Linked DNA regions of Oryctolagus cuniculus. Each later gene encodes a partner of the first gene's protein in a complex. Links are inferred from orthologs where the notes say so. Each region holds a gene or a part of one and is shown on either strand. Other genes may lie near its edges.

The links. Proteins that work in one complex are often made in the same cells at the same time.
Region 2: DNAJB13 (region 1) and DYDC1 share a complex: the UniProt entries of both Homo sapiens proteins name them as parts of the axonemal radial spoke complex. The link is inferred for Oryctolagus cuniculus from reciprocal best matches to the Homo sapiens genes DNAJB13 and DYDC1.

The regions. Positions count from the first base shown.
Region 1 is NC_091432.1:65,266,643-65,270,588, reverse strand, and holds the end of DNAJB13 (dnaJ homolog subfamily B member 13), read right to left. Parts: coding exon 3,890-3,946; intron 2,601-3,889; coding exon 2,487-2,600; intron 1,481-2,486; coding exon 1,404-1,480; intron 817-1,403; coding exon 663-816; 3' UTR 528-662; downstream 1-527. UniProt on the Homo sapiens protein: Functions as part of axonemal radial spoke complexes that play an important part in the motility of sperm and cilia.
Region 2 is NC_091446.1:71,137,842-71,141,489, forward strand, and holds part of DYDC1 (DPY30 domain-containing protein 1), read right to left. Parts: intron 2,124-3,648; coding exon 2,031-2,123; intron 618-2,030; coding exon 567-617; intron 1-566. UniProt on the Homo sapiens protein: Functions as part of axonemal radial spoke complexes that play an important part in the motility of sperm and cilia. Plays a crucial role during acrosome biogenesis.

The DNA.
Region 1 (3,946 bases):
GACCCTGCGCTGTTCTTTCGTCTGCTCGGCCCTCCCCGGGTTTGCTGCTGGTTCTTCCCGGGTTGGCTACTATCCCTTCCACCTCCGTGGAAGGGCAGTTCCCCCTGGCCACATTCCCCACTTCCACAGGGGAGCGGCACACCGCCGGCCGGCTTTCTCGGGGGCTGCACAGGTGTTCCTTCAGCTAGATGTTCCCCTTAGATGTTCCCTGGTGCATGCCGTCTCTCTCCTCCTTTATAGTCCTCCTCTGCCAATCCTAACTCGGCTGCCCACACGCCGAGTACGCTGCTCTCCAATCAGGAGCAAGTCCTACAGTTTATTGGTTGAACTGGAGGCAGCTGTGTAGAAGCTGTTTTCTTCTCTCCCAGCGCCATATTGTGGGAGAGCAGATGCATAGAATAAGTCTTAATTCCAGTAACAGTCTAGTCCGAGCTGCTCCCCACAGGGACCAGGTGCTTGGCTGCTCCCCCCACCCCACCAGAAGGGATGTAGGAAGCTCCTCTCCAATACACTCTCCTGCGTGTAGCTCCAGGTCAGGAAATAAACCTTTATTATGTGTAAGGCACCAGGTCACATATGTGCAGGGGGCGCTGCTGCTGTGGGGCAGGGCTGGATCAGGCCCCACTGGCGTCCTCCGTCCCCTGCAGCCCGAGCCCGCAGAGCTAGGTCAGCAGTGCCTGGCGCAGCATCCGCTTCTTCTGTGGCGTGAGGCGGGTGGGGAACTGGATGTCGAAGAAGATGAAGAGGTCGCCCTTCTCATCGGGGTTCTCTGGCAGGGGCATGCCCTCGCCCGGCACCTTCTTAAAGTACTTGGGGCTGAGGTGGGAGATGGAGGGAGCAGGTTCAGGGAGCACAGTATAGCAGTGCCCCCAGTGGGCCCAGGCCACCCCTCTCCCAGGGACAAATCACGTACTCCCTGGGAAACCCACCCCCCCCACCCCCCACCCCCGTCCACAGGGTCCCTGGGGGAGGAGCCCAGGCATCCTGTCTTTGGTCCAGGAAACTGGGCAAGAGAAGGGTGAGCAGACCCTGGGGCTGGGTGATGGTGTCGGGCTGCAGGGCAAACCTTCCCAGGCAGACAGCTTTCCTTGGAGAAGGACTCTGGGAAACAAGAAGTTCAGAGGGTGGAGGCAGCAGGGGGCTAGCCCCGCGTGGAAGGGGACCTCCAGCCTCCACAGCGGCTCTGTGCGAGTCAGGTATTCCTTCTGCCAGGTGCATGAAGCTCACAGCTGGGTCACAGTGTGGGCCGGCCCTTAGTCCCCTCCTGCCCTCTCAGGATGGGACTCCGGGGCTGGGTGCAGCCTGCACAGTGGTGCTGGGCAGACCTCTCTGACACTCTCCCCTGTGTCCCCGGCCGGCCAGCCCTTCTCTTGGCTACTGGGGCCCAAGGCAGCTGGACTCACTGGACGATGTCGTTGATAGGGATGTTGAGCAGCCGGTCGTCTAGGGTCTTCACCTCCACCGTGCAGCAGGTGAGAGCCTGGGGAGGTGAGTGGGGAGGGTCTCCGTGGCCGTCCTACCTAGAAGGCCTTTCATCATCTGGGGCTGGCGATGTGGGTAAAGCTGTGGCCTGCAGCGCCAGCATCCCATATGGACCCCGGTTCAAGTCCCGGCTGCTCTACTTCTGATCCAGCTCCCTGCTAATGCACCTGGGAAAGCAGCAGAGCATGGCCCAAATGCTTGGGCCCAGCTAGCTGGGTGGGAGACATGGAGGAAGCTCCTGGCTCCTGGCTTTGGCCTGGCTCAGCTCTGGCTGTTGCAGCCATTTGGGGCGTGAAGCAGCAGATGGAGGATCTTTCTCTGTGTGTGTGTGTCTCCCCCTTTCTTTCTTTCTCTCTCTCTCTGTAACTCTGCCTTTCACATAAATAATCTTTTTTTTTAAAGGGCTTTCATGATCCTATTCAGTGCCAGGCCCTGAGCTGGGCACCAGGGAGACAGACAACTACCAGGTGAGTGACCCAGACGAGCTCCCCTCCAGGAGTTCAGTCTGGCAGGTCAAAGTGACACCGATGTAGTAAAAGTGCTAGGGTAGAGATGGAAATAAAAGGGGCCTGCGGGAGCCAAGGAGAGACCCCGAGGCCATGCTGGTGCACAGGGTGGCACCAGTTGATGATGGCCGGCCCCACAGCGGGAGGTAGGCGGAGGAGCCACAGCAATGAGAGCGTGGAGGTGTGGAAACAGCCCCACAGGCAGCAGTGTCAGGAGACACGGGGCCTACAGGGCAGGGCAGGAGGTGCACAGGGCCGAAGCTGTGGAGGCAGGGGTGTGGCAGCATCAGAGGGGAGTTTGTGAAGGCCCCTGCAGGCTCTAGAGGCGCTGAGATGGGCGGTGGGCGCCCAGGCCTGGATGGTGGGGATGAGGGGAGGGGATGGAAGTGCAGGGAAATTTGGGGTGGAGTCCCCAGGACCAAGTGACAGCTGGCAGAGGGTGGGGGGAGGGGAGGGCTGGCAGGTCCCACCCTGGTCCCCAACCTCCTGCCCGCTCACCTTGCCCAAAGGGATGGGGTTCACAAAGATGAGGTTGTCCTTCTCCCTGCGGAAGCGAGGGTGTAGCTTCTCCTTCACGTAGAAGACGATGTCCGCTGGGATGACGTTGGGGCCCTAGGCAGGAGAGGCCGAGCGGTGAGAGGGACTAACTGGCCGAGTGTCCTTGGCAAGTTCCTGCCTCTACCTGTCCCCATGTCCCCCTCTGCACGATGGGAAGCTGAGACCAGGTTTTCTAGAAGGGCCTTTTCAGTCTGGACCCCGCAGCCCCTGTGGTGAGAATCGTCCACATGGATAGATTCTAACCCCCACCTGTTCCTTCTCCCCTACTGAGCATGCCCAAAACAGACGCTCTCAGGTGGCAGGCAGCAAAACCCTGCCCAGATCAGTCTGGCCCCTCAGCCTAGCAGGGGCAGACACTTTGGGGGGGCACACTCCAGGCTGTGCTAAAAGGAAGCACATAAAGGAAGCCCATACCCAAGGGGAGGTCAGGAAAGGCTGCCCAGAGGCAGAAACATAGCAGCTGCTTTTTTTTTTTTTTTTAAGATTGTATTTATTTAAAAGACAGAAGTCTTCCATCCACTGGCTCACTCCCAAAATGGCCTTAATGGTTGCTCAGAGCTGAGCTGATCTGAAGCCAGGAGTGGGGAGCTTCTTCTGGGTCTCCCACATGGGTGGAAAGGCCCAAGCACTTGGCTCATCCTCCACTGATCTCCCAGGCGCATTAGCAGGGAGCTGAACCAGAAGTGGAGCAGTAGGGACTCGCCGAACCGGCGCCCATATAGGATGCCGGCGCTGCAGGCCAGGGCTGTAACCCCCTGTGCCACAGTGCTGGCCCCAGCATCTGGATCTTGAAGGGTGTCTTTTGGGAACAGCTGTTTTACAGGTGAGGACGGGGGCAAGAGCTGCGGGCACAGGAATCTGTTTCTCTTCTCTGGGTGCTCCGGCTCTCAGCCTCGTCTTTGGACTTCGGTTCTCCCTTTCTTTAAATCAGTGCCTGACTTCCAACTGCTGTCAGTCAGCGGCCTCCGAGCAGCTGCTGCAGCTGGGCTTACTCAGGGCAGCGCTGGAGCCAGCCAGGAAGAGCGCCGGGTCGAAGTGCGCTTCTCCTTCCACCCCTCTGCTCTTCTCCCGAGTAGGTCCCTGACCTCTCTGGCCCGAGTTTCCCACTCTGTAAAATGGGAATAATCCCTGGGCCCCCAGAGGGTCACAAAGGACATTAGGGCTCATCCCACTCACTCTGTGTCCTGACCTCCCCACGGGCCCAGGGCTCCTTCCCTCTCAGTCTTCCCGCCCCTTGGGCCTGGGTGATGGAGTCAGGCAGCTCCCTCCCACCGCCTCACCTGGTCCCCTCACCCTCCCCCCACCTGGTCCCCTAGGCCTGGATCATAGAGTCCCGCCCTCACCTGGTCCCCTTCCTTCTCAAACGTGATGCGTGTGCCCTGCCTCCAGCCAGGCTTCAC
Region 2 (3,648 bases), on another chromosome or scaffold:
TTTAAAAATACAAACAACAGGGCTGGCACTGTGGCACAGTGGGTGAATGCCCTGGCCTGCAGTGCCAGCATCCCATATGGGCACCAGTTCAAGTGCCAGCTGCTCCACTTCCGATACAGCTCTCTGCTATGGACTGGGGAAGCAGTAGAAGATGGCCCAAGTCCTTGGGTCCCTGCACCCACATGGGAGACTGGAAGAAGCTCCTGGCTCCCGGCTTCAGCTAGCTGTAGCTCCAAACATTGCGACCAAGTGCGGAGTGAACCAGCAGATGGAAGACCTCTCTCTCTCTCTGCCTCTCCTTCTCCTCTCTCTATATAACTATGACTTTCAAATAAATAAATAAATCTTTAAAAAATACAAGTTGAATGCCCAATTTTTTCTATCCACTTTGAAATTTTGCTTCAAAGCACATCATATCTGTGACTTGTTATTACTAGAATATATATTTTGAATATCAATTGTGATAATATCCTTATTTAAAAGTTAGCTACTAATGCATCAAAATTAAGCCTTACATTTCAGGAAACTCATTCATTTCACATAAAATAAAATCTTTTGCTTCTCACCTCTGAACGTAAACTATCCTCACCCTTAGCGATACTTTCCATTCTCATTTCCTGTAACAGATAAAATGAAAAGAATACTTTGAACATACTTCATTTTGCTTCACATTAATTTCCAAGCATTTTTATTTTTACCAATGCTATATTCAACCTAAAGCCAAATTCTATCAGTCTTTGAAGAGTGATCTGAATGTACTTAACACAAAATCACAGACCTTGACTTTATTTACTTTTATTGTATTTACTTTATTTTTTTTATTTACTACTCTATTGTGGGGAGCAACTCCAACTAGACTAAGTTACTGGAATTAAGACTTATTCTATGCATCTGCTCTCCCACAATATGGCACTGGGAGAGGAGTAAACAGCTTCTACACAGCTGCCTCTCACCAACTTGACAAGCTGCAGGACCTGCTCCTGATTGGAGGAGAGCAGCGTGCTCGGCGTGTGGGTAGCAGAGTTGGGATTGGTGGAAGAGGACTATAAAGGAGGAGAGAGACAACATGCACCAGGAACATCTATCTGAAGGAACACCTGTGCGGCCCCCGAGAGAGCCGGCCGGCGGTGTGCCGCTCCCCCACGGAAGTGGGGAAAGTGGCAGGGAGGCCCGCCCCTCCACGGAGGTGGAGGGACGGCAGCCAACCCGGGAAGGACCAGCAGCAAACCCGGGAAGGGCCAAGCAGACAAAAGAACAGCGCAGGGTCCTGTGTCGTTCCTCCGCGAAGAGGGGGAGCGACACTCTATAGTAATAGAAGATAACTATGTTTCATATATAATTAAATAAAACTTTTTTGAAAGACTATTTCAAAGACAGAGTGACAGAGAAGAAGAGACAGTGAGACAGAAATCCTCCATGCTGGTTTACTCTCCAAAGGACCACACTGGCTGGGTTGGGACCAGCCAAAGCCAGGAGCCAGGAACCCCACCCTGGTCTCCCACACATGTTGGCCATCTTCCTCTGCCCTCCCAGGCCATTAGCAGGAAGCTGGATCAGAAGTGAAGCAGTCAGGGCAGGCGCCGCGGCTCACTAGGCTAATCCTCCACCTGCGGCGCTGGCACCCCGGGTTCTAGTCCCAGTTGGGGCACCGGTTCTGTCCCGGTTGCTCCTCTTCCAGTCCAGATCTCTACTGTGGCCCGGGAGGGCAGTGGAGGATGGCCCAAGTGCTTGGGCCCTGCACCCCATGGGAGACCAGGAGGAAGCACCTGGCTCCTGCCTTCGGATCAGCGCGGTGTGCCGGCCATAGCAGCCATTTGGGGGGTGAACCAACGGAAAAGGAAGACTTTTCTCTCTGTCTCTCTCACTGTCTAACTCTGCCTGTCAAAAAAAAATCTGCATGAAAACATGTTAAATGTAAATTATTGTTGCTAATACATCTAACATACTACTGTCTCAGAGATCAAAAACCCTCAGTATTTCAAAGAACTTAATATATCTTCAAACAAAACATTTATAAAACTTCAAATTACCTTCTCCAGTTGTTCTTGAGCTCTCTGCAGTTCCTCTATTCTCTGTCTCTCCTTTTCTTGCATTTCCAACTCCAGCTGGAGCGCCAGCTGTTGCTGAACATTCAGAAATACATAAGTCAGATTACAGTCAGATTAAGTGCAAGGAATTAACACTGTAACTTTTAAATGTTCCAGGGTAATTATGTTATACCCACTGAAATTTCAGCAACTCACAAAAATAAATGGTCACAGTCACTTAATATTTTAGGTTCTACAAGTATTTCATGAAGTACAGGATTTTTTTTAAAAAAGAAGCTTTCTTAACTGCTAATTTTGGAAACTACAATTTGGACAAAATGAAGTCACTTCTTTGTTCTTGAAGCTACAAATGAGACTGCACCAATTTCTCTAGATAAAATAAATGAATATTCAAATAGCCAAATCTTGGTTGCAGAACAGTAGGTGAGGAAATCTTAAGAATATTATCTGAACCGTGAATAACCAACAATATATGTTGCGCTAAAATTGGGGTCAGCAATACAGTCTAGGGGCCAAATCTGACTCAAATTGTCCAGCCCATAAGCTAGGAATGGCCTTTACACCATGCTCATGTTCATCTTATTTGCTTATGTATGGCCTACAACTGCTTTTACTTCCAACAGAGACCATATGAGGTGCTAACATTGTTTTGCACGTCTGCTCAGTCCACTGGCTGCAAATCACAATGACAATGTTATAAATCAATGGGATTTGCAGTACCTCAGTATAACTAACATGCACATTTTTATTTTAATTATACCCATCAACCAAAACAAGAAAAGTGAACTCTGAACGTCACACTTTTAAGGCACAATGGAGTATGGATTATTCTGTTGTCCATTTTTACATTTATTTCATCGGGAGGCAGAGAGGCAGAGAGATAGGGACAGAGGTCTCCCATCTGCCGATTCAATTTCCAAATGCCAGGAACTCAATCCAGGTCTCCCACATGGGTGGCAGGGACCCAAGTACTTGAGCTATCACCTGCTGCCTCCCAGGGTACACATTGGCAGGAAGCTAGGATTGGGAGCAGGACCGACTCTTGAACCCAGGCACTCTGATATGGGATGCAAGCATCCCAAGCACAGTCTTCATCGCTACACTAAATGCCTGTCCCATATTTTGTTATCAAATGAAACAGAAAAATATTGCTTTGGGGCCAGCGCTGTGGCACAGCAGGTTAACACCATAGCCTGAAGTGCCGACATCCCATGTGGGCACCAGTTCGAGTCCCGGCTGCTCCACTTCAGATCCAGCTCTCTGCTATGGCCTGGGAAAGCAGTAGAAGATGGCCCAAATCCTTGGGCCCCTACACCCACATGGGAGACCTGGAAGAAGCTCCTGGCTCCTGGCTTCAGATGGGTGCAGTTCCCAGCCGTTGAAGCCAATTGGGGAGTGAACCAGCGGATGGAAGACCTCTCTCTCTCTCTCTCTCTCTCTCTCTCTGCCTCTCCTCTGTCTGTGTAACTCTGACTTTCAAGTAAAATAAATAAATCTTTTAAAAAAATATGGCTTTTATTATATAGCACTGTACTAAAGAATGTGGTATCAACATAAGCACTCATTCACAATATTCTCAACTCATATGAAAGCAAAAGCA